2 linked regions of the Saccharomyces cerevisiae S288C genome follow. The main gene of each other region encodes a partner of the protein of the gene in region 2 in a complex. Each region holds a gene or a part of one and is shown on either strand. Other genes may lie near its edges.

The links. The genes of interacting proteins can lie anywhere in the genome.
Region 1: MRPS8 (region 2) and RSM18 share a complex: the UniProt entries of both Saccharomyces cerevisiae proteins name them as parts of the mitochondrial small ribosomal subunit.

What each region holds. Positions count from the first base shown.
Region 1 is NC_001137.3:253,471-258,848, reverse strand, and holds RSM18 (mitochondrial 37S ribosomal protein bS18m RSM18), read left to right. Parts: upstream 1-4,461; coding exon 4,462-4,878; downstream 4,879-5,378. Other genes in the region: PIC2 (Cu/Pi carrier), read left to right, coding at 1-112; HOM3 (aspartate kinase), read left to right, coding at 891-2,474; JHD1 ([Histone H3]-lysine-36 demethylase), read right to left, coding at 2,715-4,193; TPA1 (oxidative DNA demethylase), read right to left, coding at 5,187-5,378. UniProt on the Saccharomyces cerevisiae protein: Component of the mitochondrial ribosome (mitoribosome), a dedicated translation machinery responsible for the synthesis of mitochondrial genome-encoded proteins, including at least some of the essential transmembrane subunits of the mitochondrial respiratory chain.
Region 2 is NC_001145.3:570,560-578,256, forward strand, and holds MRPS8 (mitochondrial 37S ribosomal protein uS8m MRPS8), read left to right. Parts: upstream 1-1,688; coding exon 1,689-2,156; downstream 2,157-7,697. Other genes in the region: TPP1 (polynucleotide 3'-phosphatase), read right to left, coding at 1-457; AIM36 (Aim36p), read right to left, coding at 718-1,485; YMR158C-A (uncharacterized protein), read right to left, coding at 2,635-2,772; ATG16 (Atg16p), read right to left, coding at 3,917-4,369; CVM1 (Cvm1p), read left to right, coding at 4,507-6,957; type I HSP40 co-chaperone HLJ1, read left to right, coding at 7,159-7,697. UniProt on the Saccharomyces cerevisiae protein: Component of the mitochondrial ribosome (mitoribosome), a dedicated translation machinery responsible for the synthesis of mitochondrial genome-encoded proteins, including at least some of the essential transmembrane subunits of the mitochondrial respiratory chain.

The DNA.
Region 1 (5,378 bases), on a different chromosome or scaffold from region 2:
GTTGTGGAATGGGTTAATGGTGAGAATTGTCATGATCGGTACTTTGACAAGTTTCCAATGGCTAATTTACGATTCGTTCAAGGCTTATGTAGGCTTACCAACCACCGGTTAGCTGATCGATTCAATCGGCAAGGTTTATCGTAAACACTCTGTGCTAGAGGAATATTGTATACACAGGATTTCATAAAGTTAGTAAATGACCGGCATTTATAGTTTGTTCTTCTTTGCATATGTCTTAATAAATATTCGTCCTACAATTTCTTTTCATACTAAGAGTTTTGTTATGATTGCCAAATTTCTCAAGCCAAGAACAGGCCCAGGAAAACTTTGAAAGTGCCATATCAGAAACACATTTATAAGGTAGTTTCGATATACGGCAATACTCGATGCATGCCCAAACTTGCCAGCCGCTCGCGATTGAATCTTCTACAATTTTTAGGTGAACATATTCAGAGGCTGAGGCCTTATTTGATAGTAACATCAAATATCACTCCCACAATTTACAATCACTGTCATTGGTCTCACAGGATCCTTTTCTTTCTAGAACTCCCCTAATATCAACTTTTTACTCTACTGTGGCTCTAACCACGTGTATTTTTCAGGCCCATGACTCACCTTTTCTTTCTTTTTCACTAGCAAACGAAAATTTCATCATCACTTTTTTTTTTTTTCACTTTCCGTACGCAGTCTTCTCCAGAGATTCTTTTAGCTTCGAAGAAATAATGTATAATATCCATATATAAGAATACTGCTGGATAATTATTTTATTTCTATTTTAACAGTGCTCTACTCATTGAAGGATATTTGTGTAGCCAATACTCTCTCCATCGCTTAAGCTCACATAGCTATCGCATTTTATCACAGAAGCTTTCATTTTTTTTAACTTTTACATGCCAATGGATTTCCAACCTACATCAAGTCATTCGAACTGGGTCGTGCAAAAGTTCGGTGGTACATCTGTCGGTAAATTTCCCGTCCAAATAGTGGATGACATTGTGAAGCACTATTCTAAACCTGACGGCCCAAACAATAATGTCGCTGTCGTTTGTTCCGCCCGTTCTTCATACACCAAGGCTGAAGGTACCACTTCTCGTCTTTTGAAATGTTGTGATTTGGCTTCGCAAGAATCTGAATTTCAAGACATTATCGAAGTTATCAGACAAGACCATATCGATAATGCCGACCGCTTCATTCTCAATCCTGCCTTGCAAGCCAAGTTAGTGGATGATACCAATAAAGAACTTGAACTGGTCAAGAAATATTTAAATGCTTCAAAAGTTTTGGGTGAAGTGAGTTCACGTACAGTAGATCTGGTGATGTCATGTGGTGAGAAGTTGAGTTGTTTGTTCATGACTGCTTTATGTAATGACCGTGGCTGTAAGGCCAAATATGTGGATTTGAGCCACATTGTTCCCTCTGATTTCAGTGCCAGCGCTTTGGATAACAGTTTCTACACTTTCCTGGTTCAAGCATTGAAAGAAAAATTGGCCCCCTTTGTAAGTGCTAAAGAGCGTATCGTTCCAGTCTTTACAGGGTTTTTTGGTTTAGTTCCAACTGGTCTTCTGAATGGTGTTGGTCGTGGCTATACCGATTTATGTGCCGCTTTGATAGCAGTTGCTGTAAATGCTGATGAACTACAAGTTTGGAAGGAAGTTGATGGTATATTTACTGCTGATCCTCGTAAGGTTCCTGAAGCACGTTTGCTAGACAGTGTTACTCCAGAAGAAGCTTCTGAATTAACATATTATGGTTCCGAAGTTATACATCCTTTTACGATGGAACAAGTTATTAGGGCTAAGATTCCTATTAGAATCAAGAATGTTCAAAATCCATTAGGTAACGGTACCATTATCTACCCAGATAATGTAGCAAAGAAGGGTGAATCTACTCCACCACATCCTCCTGAGAACTTATCCTCATCTTTCTATGAAAAGAGAAAGAGAGGTGCCACTGCTATCACCACCAAAAATGACATTTTCGTCATCAACATTCATTCCAATAAGAAAACCCTATCCCATGGTTTCCTAGCTCAAATATTTACCATCCTGGATAAGTACAAGTTAGTCGTAGATTTAATATCTACTTCTGAAGTTCATGTTTCGATGGCTTTGCCCATTCCAGATGCAGACTCATTAAAATCTCTGAGACAAGCTGAGGAAAAATTGAGAATTTTAGGTTCTGTTGATATCACAAAGAAGTTGTCTATTGTTTCATTAGTTGGTAAACATATGAAACAATACATCGGCATTGCTGGTACCATGTTTACTACTCTTGCTGAAGAAGGCATCAACATTGAAATGATTTCTCAAGGGGCAAATGAAATAAACATATCCTGCGTTATCAATGAATCTGACTCCATAAAAGCGCTACAATGTATTCATGCCAAGTTACTAAGTGAGCGGACAAATACTTCAAACCAATTTGAACATGCCATTGATGAACGTTTAGAACAATTGAAAAGACTTGGAATTTAAATCCACCTTTCTTCTTCACTTTAATGATAGAATATTAATTTTCCCTTTATATATATATATATATATATATACGCGCACATATATTTACATATATATTAATGTTTTGTAACCTATATTGGGGCGATTATTCCCTAAATGTAATGTCAGGGTTATACTGTATCAATTGCTAAAGTAGATCTCATTCATCGAGAGCATAGGATGAAATAAAAGATACAAGAACGTGGCGGACAAGAAGAAATTTTACGAAATAAGATCGGCTAAAGCTTTCGCTAAATGCTTCTTTGAAGTGAAATTTAACGGCTTGTACTTAACTTCAGGTTTTATAACGTATGCATGAAGTGATTGAATTGCGCAATTAGTGGTCCTGGAAAGCAAATCCCCATCACTGACATCACTAGTGATTTTATTTTTATCAAGCGCAAGATACTCGCATAATTTACCCATCACTTGATCAAACTTCGGGAAGGTAAATCTTCTAGGAACCTTTGTTAACTTTTCAATTTCCACAATTTTAAGGTGTGTCTCCAAATCACGGATGGTTAAAAAGTTGCCTCCAAATACCAAAGAGTCTACTGGTGTATAAACTGCATGAATATATCCAGCTGGAATCATAAACAAATCACCAGCATCTAATTCCATCGCAATACCATCCTCAAGAATATCACCGAGGAAAACACTATTTTGGTCTTCTTTTAAAGACCACTCAATATACTTATCTATGTTTGATTGGGTAGGTGGAAATAATAAAAACTTCTTCTGTCCTGAGATAACGTTATAATAAACAGAGGTACCGGCAAAATCCAAATGAAAATCCGTATAAGCATCCTTTACAGACATCAAAATATATTTGGTCACTTTTGGCTTGGGGTCATTCTCCTCCGCCTTCTCCCCATTGACTTTTTCTAAATGTCCATTGAAACTCCAAATTTTATCAACAAGATCATTCTGCCTAACTGCAGTGGGCCTCTCTAGTTCTAATCCCTCAATATTAGAGACTTCTAATGATATAACATTCCTTATTCGATCCCTCCTGTCTGGTTCAGTATTTGTAAAATATTCATTCCAAGATCCCAAGTTCCAATTTTCATTCATTTGTGATTGAACGTCCATTACATCAACATGATAATCCTCGCCTATCATTTCGGTGATATAATTAACTGTGAGGCATCCATTGTCTGTGCCCACATTCGGTACATATACTCCGCTATTCAGTGGATCGATGATCTTGTACGGCACATCTATATTATCAAACTTTTCAGCAAAGTCAGCGGCGTTTATAATATTTGAGCCATTTTTCCATTTTTCAAAAGATTTCATGAAACTCTCCTTATGAGGGTGATTCATTTTATCCCTTTTCGATTCACCCTCATTCAAAGCGATATAGTCAAGTAATTTCTTCTTTCTGAAATTATACCGCTTATTTATATGACTATCTTCAGGGTTTTCTTTATTCCTTTGCCGCTTTCCTTTTTGTGTGATGAGAGCGTATGCGGTAAGATATTCTCCTTCCTTATGATTAGGACAACGGTAGCTCTTGATTTGCTTCGCAGAATTTGGATAAGACAGAACTTCAGAACTTGTAAGATTTGAATAGTGAATGCGTTTCAAAGGCACGCATTTCACGTGGACCCACTGCGGGCAACTATCACACTTCACCCAAATTAATGCGCCTGGATTATCCTTCAACTGGCAATGCTGGCAAATATTGGGATCTTGCATTGCACCATAGCTTATTAGTATTTTGTTTTATGATCATTACGTCTTCTTACTCATTATAATCACCCACTTCTATTAGATGTTCTATTATGCCTTTAAATTGCATTGTAGGGTAACCTGTTGGGGGAAAAAATATCTAGGATTACTTTACATACTTAAATATGAGTCCATTATTAACAGTGTTACAGTTCTAACCAAAAAGGCAAGGTTCTACACAAAACTTCGGATGTTCAAGATGAATGCCACCACAGGCATAAAAATTCAAAACGGTATGCAACCTATCATCAAGGGAGCAGTAAGCTCCACATTTAAACGTGCTCTATACAATTTCGGTATCAAAGAAAAGAAGAGTGTCAATATTGAAATGGGGAGAACGCAACAAACAAAGAAAATCGATCAGTCTTTGTCCAAAAAACTTCCCAAAGGTACTATCTACGATCCATTTGACTTCTCTATGGGACGAATCCATTTAGATAGAAAATATCAGGCAAACAAGAACTCAAACAGGAACGATATAATGAAGTCCGGTGCAAATCCACTAGAATTTTATGCAAGACCAAGAATACTTTCAAGATATGTGACCTCCACGGGAAGAATCCAACATAGGGATATCACAGGCTTATCGGCAAAGAATCAAAGAAGACTATCGAAAGCCATTAGACGGTGCCAGGCAATAGGATTAATGTGAACTGTACTACACTAATGCTTCTCCACATGAAATAATTAAGAAAATAAGGCATTTCATAGTTCTGTCTGTAAATATACAATATGTAAAAAGAATCGCAATTAGATCTTAAGTTAAACTTATATTCATTCTTATATTTCTTTAATATACCCGTTTTATTCGCTTACTCGAATTTGGATTATGGTAATGATATTCACGCCAGAGGAATAAGCTGAAATTGACGAATAACTTTTCAAATAATTTTATTACTTCTATTATACAACTTTATAAATATCTAAGCTGCCATTTACTTAATAAGACGGGTTAATTGTTTACGCTTCATCTTCCTGACCATCTTCATCACATGATTTGACATCCCACTTCATTTTGACATCCCATCTACTAGATTTAGCGCTCCAGCTGACGTACTTAACAAACTCCAAAACACTTTCATCTCTCAAGACCAAATTGAAAGTATTCCAAGCAGGTGGATCATTAATCAATACTGAATCACCACTGTCATC
Region 2 (7,697 bases):
TTGCGAATGTGATCTTACTATGATTTGCTGCAAAAGTTTTCGGCCTTTTAGGTGCTGCATATAGCCATAACCTGTGTGATAACGTTTCTCCTCTCTCATCGTTTTTGATTGCCTTTAAAAATAGCAAAATTTTATTAGTGTACTTGGTGCAACTTTTAGAAGTTCTTGGGACGGTGATGACACCACCTTGGTTAGAAAATATGACTATGACGGCCGTGGGATCATTATCAATGATATTACACAGGTAATCCAGGGTGGATTTCTTGGAGTTAAAATTAATAAACTGCCAATCACTTGCGCTTCTACTAAAACTTATATTGGGGGACTTTGGTTTGATAATTGTATGGTCCAGATCAAAGGCATAAACGTTTAGACCATGCTCGTCGTGATCAATGGATTGTGGAAACTTGGGCGTGAACTTAATCAGAAATGGCAGGATTGTTAATTTGTGGGACATGGGCTTTCCTTCGGTTCAGTTTTCTATGTTATCCATCTGATTTTGGGATGATTTTACAGATTAAAATCGATTTAAAGCCATACGCAAAAGAGGGGAAACGAAAGAAACGCACAGAATTCATTCACATAGATGAAGGGAACAGAAAATGAGAATGTTATATGACAGATAAGCAGCATATTCAGGACATATATCCAGATATATATACATATAAGCTATTAACAAGGAGAAGAAACCAAAAAAAAAAAAAAAAGAAAACATCCTCAGATGATATCAGCTTTACCTACAGTTTCGTAATATTTACAGACGTCAGAGCCACTCAATTTCCTCGGAACAAAGATTTTAGACACTATAGAAACCTCATTTTCAAATCTTGTTGCATCAGCAATCGAATGAGGAAAGTTCACAACTACTAGCTTGTCACCGGTCTTGAAGTTCTCTTTGAAATATCTACCCAAAAGCATGACCAACATACCGGTCGGCAAATTGTAAGCGTACGTGTCACACCCGTATTTTTTGTAGTATTCATTTAATAAAGCCTCATATCTATCATCCCTCAAGGTTCTGTAGTAATCGATGACCTTGACTGGATCGACAAACTGCAGCTCATTTATATCATCGCCTTGTGATTTCTGCAGTACCTTTCTAGTTTCTTCAATGCTGGGTGATAAGGAAAACTTTATATCGACCTCACCTTGTGGGAAGATAGCCACACGTCTTTTCAACCCTTTAACCACATTTTCGAATTCTTCTTCTGATAATGTTGTCTTCGGTTTGTTCTTATCTAAAGACTGTACTGTCTTGACAAATATCACTGTACCGATAATAGCAACAAGGAAAATTTTCTTAAATCCTGGAGCATCTATTTTATCTGATTTGTTAGACCTTTTAGTTGAGCTATCAGTTGATGAGTATCGTGCTCTCAAGAGCAATGGTGAAAATAAGGGTAATTGCTTTTGAGGCAACCCACCGCACACCTTGAAACAATGTCGGCAGCTTGCTAGAACGCTTTTTCTCAGTGGTCGCAACATGTAGGTAGTCTATTTATCTGGGCTCGTTATGTATTAATCTTCCTATGGGGATTCATTCATTTTAGCTTTACCGGCAGTCCTTACAAACCGCTTTTTGAAATTAAATCGACAAACTGAGGAAGAAGAACGGAAAAACAGAAGAAAGCCAAAGGCAAAGAAGCGACCACATACACCTTTTTTTCGATCTAAACTAATCGCCCAAAATGTCGTTGGTCAAACTTGCGAATACGTGTGCTCATTTACAGAACTGCTCGAAAGTTAGAGTTGCCTTAACATCGATCCCATATACGAAATTGCAGCTACAGTTTGCGTATAACCTTTACCAACAAGGGTTCTTATCGTCTTTACAGAAGGGATCGACTATGGGACCAGACAAAGATTTTGTTGAAGTAACACCAGACAATATCTCTACTAGAAGGCTTTGGGTTGGATTGAAGTATAGAGATAACAAACCTGTCCTCAGCAGCTGCAAATTAATTTCCAAACCAAATTCAAGAATACACCTGCCAATGGAAGACATGAAGAAACTATGCTCTGGCGTAACTATTAGAAACATCAAACCACTACAACCAGGAGAACTGATTCTAGTTCGAGCTCATAACAACATTATGGACATTAATGAAGCCATATCCAAAAAGTTGGATGGAGAAGTACTATGCAGAGTAAAATGAATAGAACAATCACATATGACCGTATTTATACGTGTAATTAAAAAATATACGGACCATGTAAATAATAATATTATAAAATGCAGACAATGATGATGAGTATAGTACTACAGTAACGTCCTTCATTCATTACCTTTACTAGCAGTGATAAAAAGTTTTGAAAAAAAATGTGCTCCAGGGGAGGTTCGAACTCTCGACCTTCAGATTATGAGACTGACGCTCTTCCTACTGAGCTACTGAAGCTGTCTGTTATGGAGGATTCTAGCATTAAATGCTTTAATACTCAATAAAAGCAACAATGGAGAATAATTTATCAGCAACTAAATTTATAGACGAAGATCCTACGCCAAATCTTAGCTCCTTTATATTTAATATTGAAAAACATATGAATTTTAGGTTGAATCCTCAAAATGGAATTGATATTTCTACATAATAGTACTACGATTATTCTTCACTCTGTTTTATATGTGTCATTATGTTATTACATTATCAATCCTTGCATTTCAGCTTCGTCTAACTTCCATGACAGTTTCTCATACCTTATGTCATCATCTAACACCGTACATGATAACATACTGGTAGTGTAACTACTAGTTGATAGATGATAGTTCATTTTCATTCCAACAATTGTCGTTAGAGATCGCTACATAATCAACCTTTGCACTTCAGCTTCCATTAAATCTGATTAATGCTTCTTAATCTTTAAGCCATCTTCTTGCACCATAAATAGCAATGAAACCATTTAGTCTTCTATTTTCCACTTAAAGAACCAGGTTTTTGCATTTCAGCCATCTTAAATTAGACGACGGTTTAATTTCGGTGTAGTATCATAAAATTTCGGCCATCCTTCGACTCACGTATAATGATGGCCTCAGCGAGAGGATCAGCAACAAGTTACATCCACAATAATACGCGGAGTTATGAGATATTACAGTACCCTCCCCAAAAATATAAGGTTTACCGCAAGATCGTATCAGGAGAATGAACGGGTCTCTTAGTTTTTATCCACTATTCTTTCCACTCACGCCAATATACTAACCAATTGAAATGCTCATAACCAGAATGAACAGGCCGCATGCATTCTTTAGCCAACTTTCGATGAAAATACCCACTATGCAATGGTAAATTTCCGAAACAAAAAATTATACTTCAGTGTTCCCACAAAATAACGATATGTTTCTTTTCATTTTTCAATGAAAGCATGATTTTTTCCCTTCCAATGCCAAAATGCTAGTCCTATAAATGAAAAAAAAAGCTTTCTGCTATAAGAACAGCAAGGGGCATTTCAACTTACACATAATAGAAGGTGAGATAAAGACCATCGTGAATCCTAATAGAAACTGCGGGTTTCTTAGGATCATGGGTCGCGCAAAACCGCCAAGTTTACCATCAAAAAGCTACAAAGTTCAATTTACCCAATAGAATTCTAACGCCAAAGATTTGTAGTGATTCATATGAAATTTTCTTTATGCATCCAGTTATTACTATTGAGTTTCTCTCAAGATACATTCTCCAAAAAAAAAGCCTGTTCTCGCACAAACGACCTTAAGAAAGGTTTAAAACAGCTGTCACATTACATTATAGTAGATAAAAACACGAATGGCATTTTCTTAACTTGCAGGTGTACTCTCTATAGCATGTTTAACATATTTTCACCTCTTTATTGCAAACACTTTGGCGTTTCATATTCTGTCCATGTATATGCACCACAATGATTTTATTTTCTTTTGTATGCATTTTGTGACGATTTGACAACTGATGCATCATTTCGTTCCATCTATTTCGCTGTTCATGGCTTCTGTCTCTTTCTCTGTCTTTTTTAGCCATCTCGCAACTAGCTGGGAATGTTCTTTTTTCAGATCCGAGAGTTTTTGTTGTAAAACATTATTTTCAATGGTTCCACTAATCAATTCGTCATTCAACCTTTCCGTATTCTTATTTTTCAACGCAATAACTTCTTTCAATCTTCGTATTTCTTGCTCCTTACTTTTCAGTTCTTTTTGTAGAATTGCCAGTGTATTCAATAAAGCATCGTCATGGCTGACAATGTTGCCACCAATGGCGCCACTATTATCTTGAAACAACTCATTTAAATGGGCCTCCTTGTCGTTTCGATCTGTTAGTCTACGAATTAACAAATCATCCATGCTATCTGTTTGTGGATTGCTTCTTTCCTCCTTTGCTTTCTTCCTTTCTGTTATAATGAAATTGCCCATGGAATATGCGCCCTTAATACAGATTCGCGCAGGTTAATAACAAAAATCAACGTTAAATAAAGGTCAACTACAAACAGAATAAGTAAAAGCGAGCAAGTGTAGTAGCAATTTAGCACAACATATAAAACGCTATTATAATGGATGTTGTGCAGCAGAAACAGGATAAACAGTTGCAGCATCAAACACAAGAGCAGCAGCAGATACGAGAGGACCAGCAGGAAGTCCCACCCCAACGTCCACGACAACAAAACAGATGGAAACCCTGGTGGAATTCCACTGCCGACGATGAGCCAAACACGGGAAGAATTGCAGAATATCCTAATGGACAAGGAAGGAGTAGTCCGACAACGGATTTTCAAGATAGCGTGAACTCGAATAATGACAATAAAGGGATATGGTCTAAAATCGCTTCTTTTGCAACATCCAGATATAGAAGTGCCCCAATTGTTGTTGATGATAATACCCGCTACTCTCAACTAAACACTGAACAAATCAACTTCTTGGAAAATGAGGCTAAGGATATAATTTCAAAAAAGTCGAAATCATGGTGTTGGTACGAAGCAATTCCACATATATCAAATTCATCAAACATAATTGATTCCATAGATACCCCAGGAATAATCAGTGTCTCTGGTACAGGATCAGCCAAATGCCCATTGCCATTAAACAAATATCCTGGGGAGGGAGGTAACCCTGGGTATAATGTATTTATTAATGATTCTTTAATCCTACCATCAGATAACCCTTTGAATTTTCTGCACGTCCAACCACTAAGAACTAAGGTATTGAATACTATCAAAAATTACTATAACTTCCCTAATGAGCAACATCTCTATTTAAGACAAAAAAAAACCGCATTACTGAAGGATAAGAGAATTATTATAATATCCGTCGTGGGGGATTTACCAGAAAAGTATGAGCAGCGCTCATTAGAATCACAAAGATCGGCTTATTATCTTTCTAGAAAATTGTCACAAAATCTAGCGCAAGAACAACCTCAAAGAGTCTTGACCCTATCGTTCCAGTGCCCACTGCATAATCAAGATTTAATACCTACATATAAAGAATGTGTAGAGTTACTGAACCACTGGGCTCATCTTTTCAAAGAGGTAGATTCAATTTTTTTTGTGGGCGTTTATCACAGCGTTCCCTTAACTTTGCTATTAGCGAAATATATCGTGCAAAATAATGAAGTTCTAGAGTTTGATGAAAACACTACAGTGAGTGTATTGAGTTTCCAGTCATGTTTACAAGGCTATCGATTTTGGGACCACAGCACTGACTTTACTAGCAATAGTTATAATAACTTGGGTTCCAATTCCAGTACTAACGAAAATGATAGTAATGATCATGATTCAAATAATGATTTCACAACGAAGAGCCAACAAATCAAAGAAAAACAGTTATTTCAGGGCATTGACAAAAAGCAACAAGACACATTATCTAAAATCAAAAATTATAGGCGGATAGATTCTAGTGAATCTAAACTAGTTCAGGATGCATTGGATTGGCTCTTGTTCAATTGGGATACGTTTCGACTGACATTTTTTGGTAAGCTTTATGATAATTTTATGACAATTTCAGAAAAACTTGCTATAGATTATAATCACCCTAAAATCTTGAGAAATTTATGGTGCAATGGGAAGTACATGGGCATTGATTTAAAGAATGCTAATAATTTAAACCTTGATACCGATGATGAAGCAACTAGTAACATTAATGACGTCCATGTAAGGACCCCTAATTTTGAATCGAGATTGAAGATTCCCACCAACAGACTTTTCGAAATAACCTTATGGGATATTTTGATGATAACGGAGAATTTAGGATATAAACAATTTATTCCCATAATTAATTTACTAAGTCCTTTTTTTATTTCAAGGTCATTTAATGATTACACATTGCCTCCAAATATTAGGAAACAGTACCAGAACAGCAACAAAATCTGGCTTCAAGAAATGGACAGTAAGTGGAAAATGAATGGTCATCAACTCAATTACGACCAAAGGGAGGGTGAAAGTCTCGGTTCATCATCGGAATCATTATTGCCAGAGAATATTTCTACGGTAAAGGATTTTTTGCAGTTTGTGCAGTATCAAAACGAAAAATCTTCGGATTTCGTAAGGATATATTCAGACATTTATGATGACGATAAAGTCTATAAATGCTTTCTGTACAATACAATATTCACGAAAAACCCATTAAGTCGTAAGCATTTACGTTTAAACATCGACCTCGACACTCCTACAAGCATATTGAATACTGTCAATCAATATGATTTGGTATGGAAAATTCATGATTCCTTCTCCAAATTGATTCAATTGAAAAATTTACCGCAGCGAGAGATACCACATGCGTTGAGGCTCTCCATCTCATTAAACTGCTTCTTGGATAGTACCACGAGTACTTCTGGCCCTGTTTTTCAGAGGGACACCGTGGAAGCTTTGAGAAGATTAACAGAGATTTGGCGAACTTACCAGGATTGGTCTCCACCAACAAGGGGTTTGAAACACCTACGTGATATCCTGAGCGTTTTAGCCATGTATGACAACCCCAAAAACTTGATTAATGATGTTCGACGTACATAGTAGATTCGTATATAGCGGACCGCGTAACATATTATGGTATTTGTATAGTGGGTAACCCGCAGAGTAGGCTGGAAAGTATTCGTGAAGAACATAAAGGAAGCTGGCAGAAGTTCTTTTCATACACCTCTACTTCCAGAAGCCATAATAGCAGCAACGCTGTTTCTGCAATATAACTTGTGGAAGGTCTATAATAGGAAGAACATGTCTTTCACTGAGGATCAAGAAAAAATCGCGCTAGAAATACTGTCAAAAGACAAGCATGAGTTTTACGAAATTTTGAAGGTAGATAGGAAAGCCACAGATAGTGAGATCAAGAAGGCATACAGAAAACTAGCAATCAAATTGCATCCTGATAAAAACTCTCATCCAAAAGCGGGAGAAGCTTTCAAAGTAATTAATAGGGCATTTGAAGTACTAAGCAATGAGGAAAAGCGCAGTATTTATGACAGGATAGGTAGGGATCCTGACGATAGACAAATGCCATCCAGAGGTGCTGCTTCAGGGTTCCGAGGAAGTGCAGGTGGGTCTCCAATGGGTGGCGGATTTGAAGACATGTTTTTCAATTCACGTTTCGGTGGTCAAAGAGCTGGACCACCAGAGGACATATTCGACTTTTTGTTCAACGCAGGCGGCAGCCCATTCGGCGCTTCACCATTTGGGCCTTCTGCTTCCACTTTTTCATTTGGAGGCCCCGGTGGTTTCAGAGTTTATACTAATAATCGTGGTGGCTCACCGTTCAT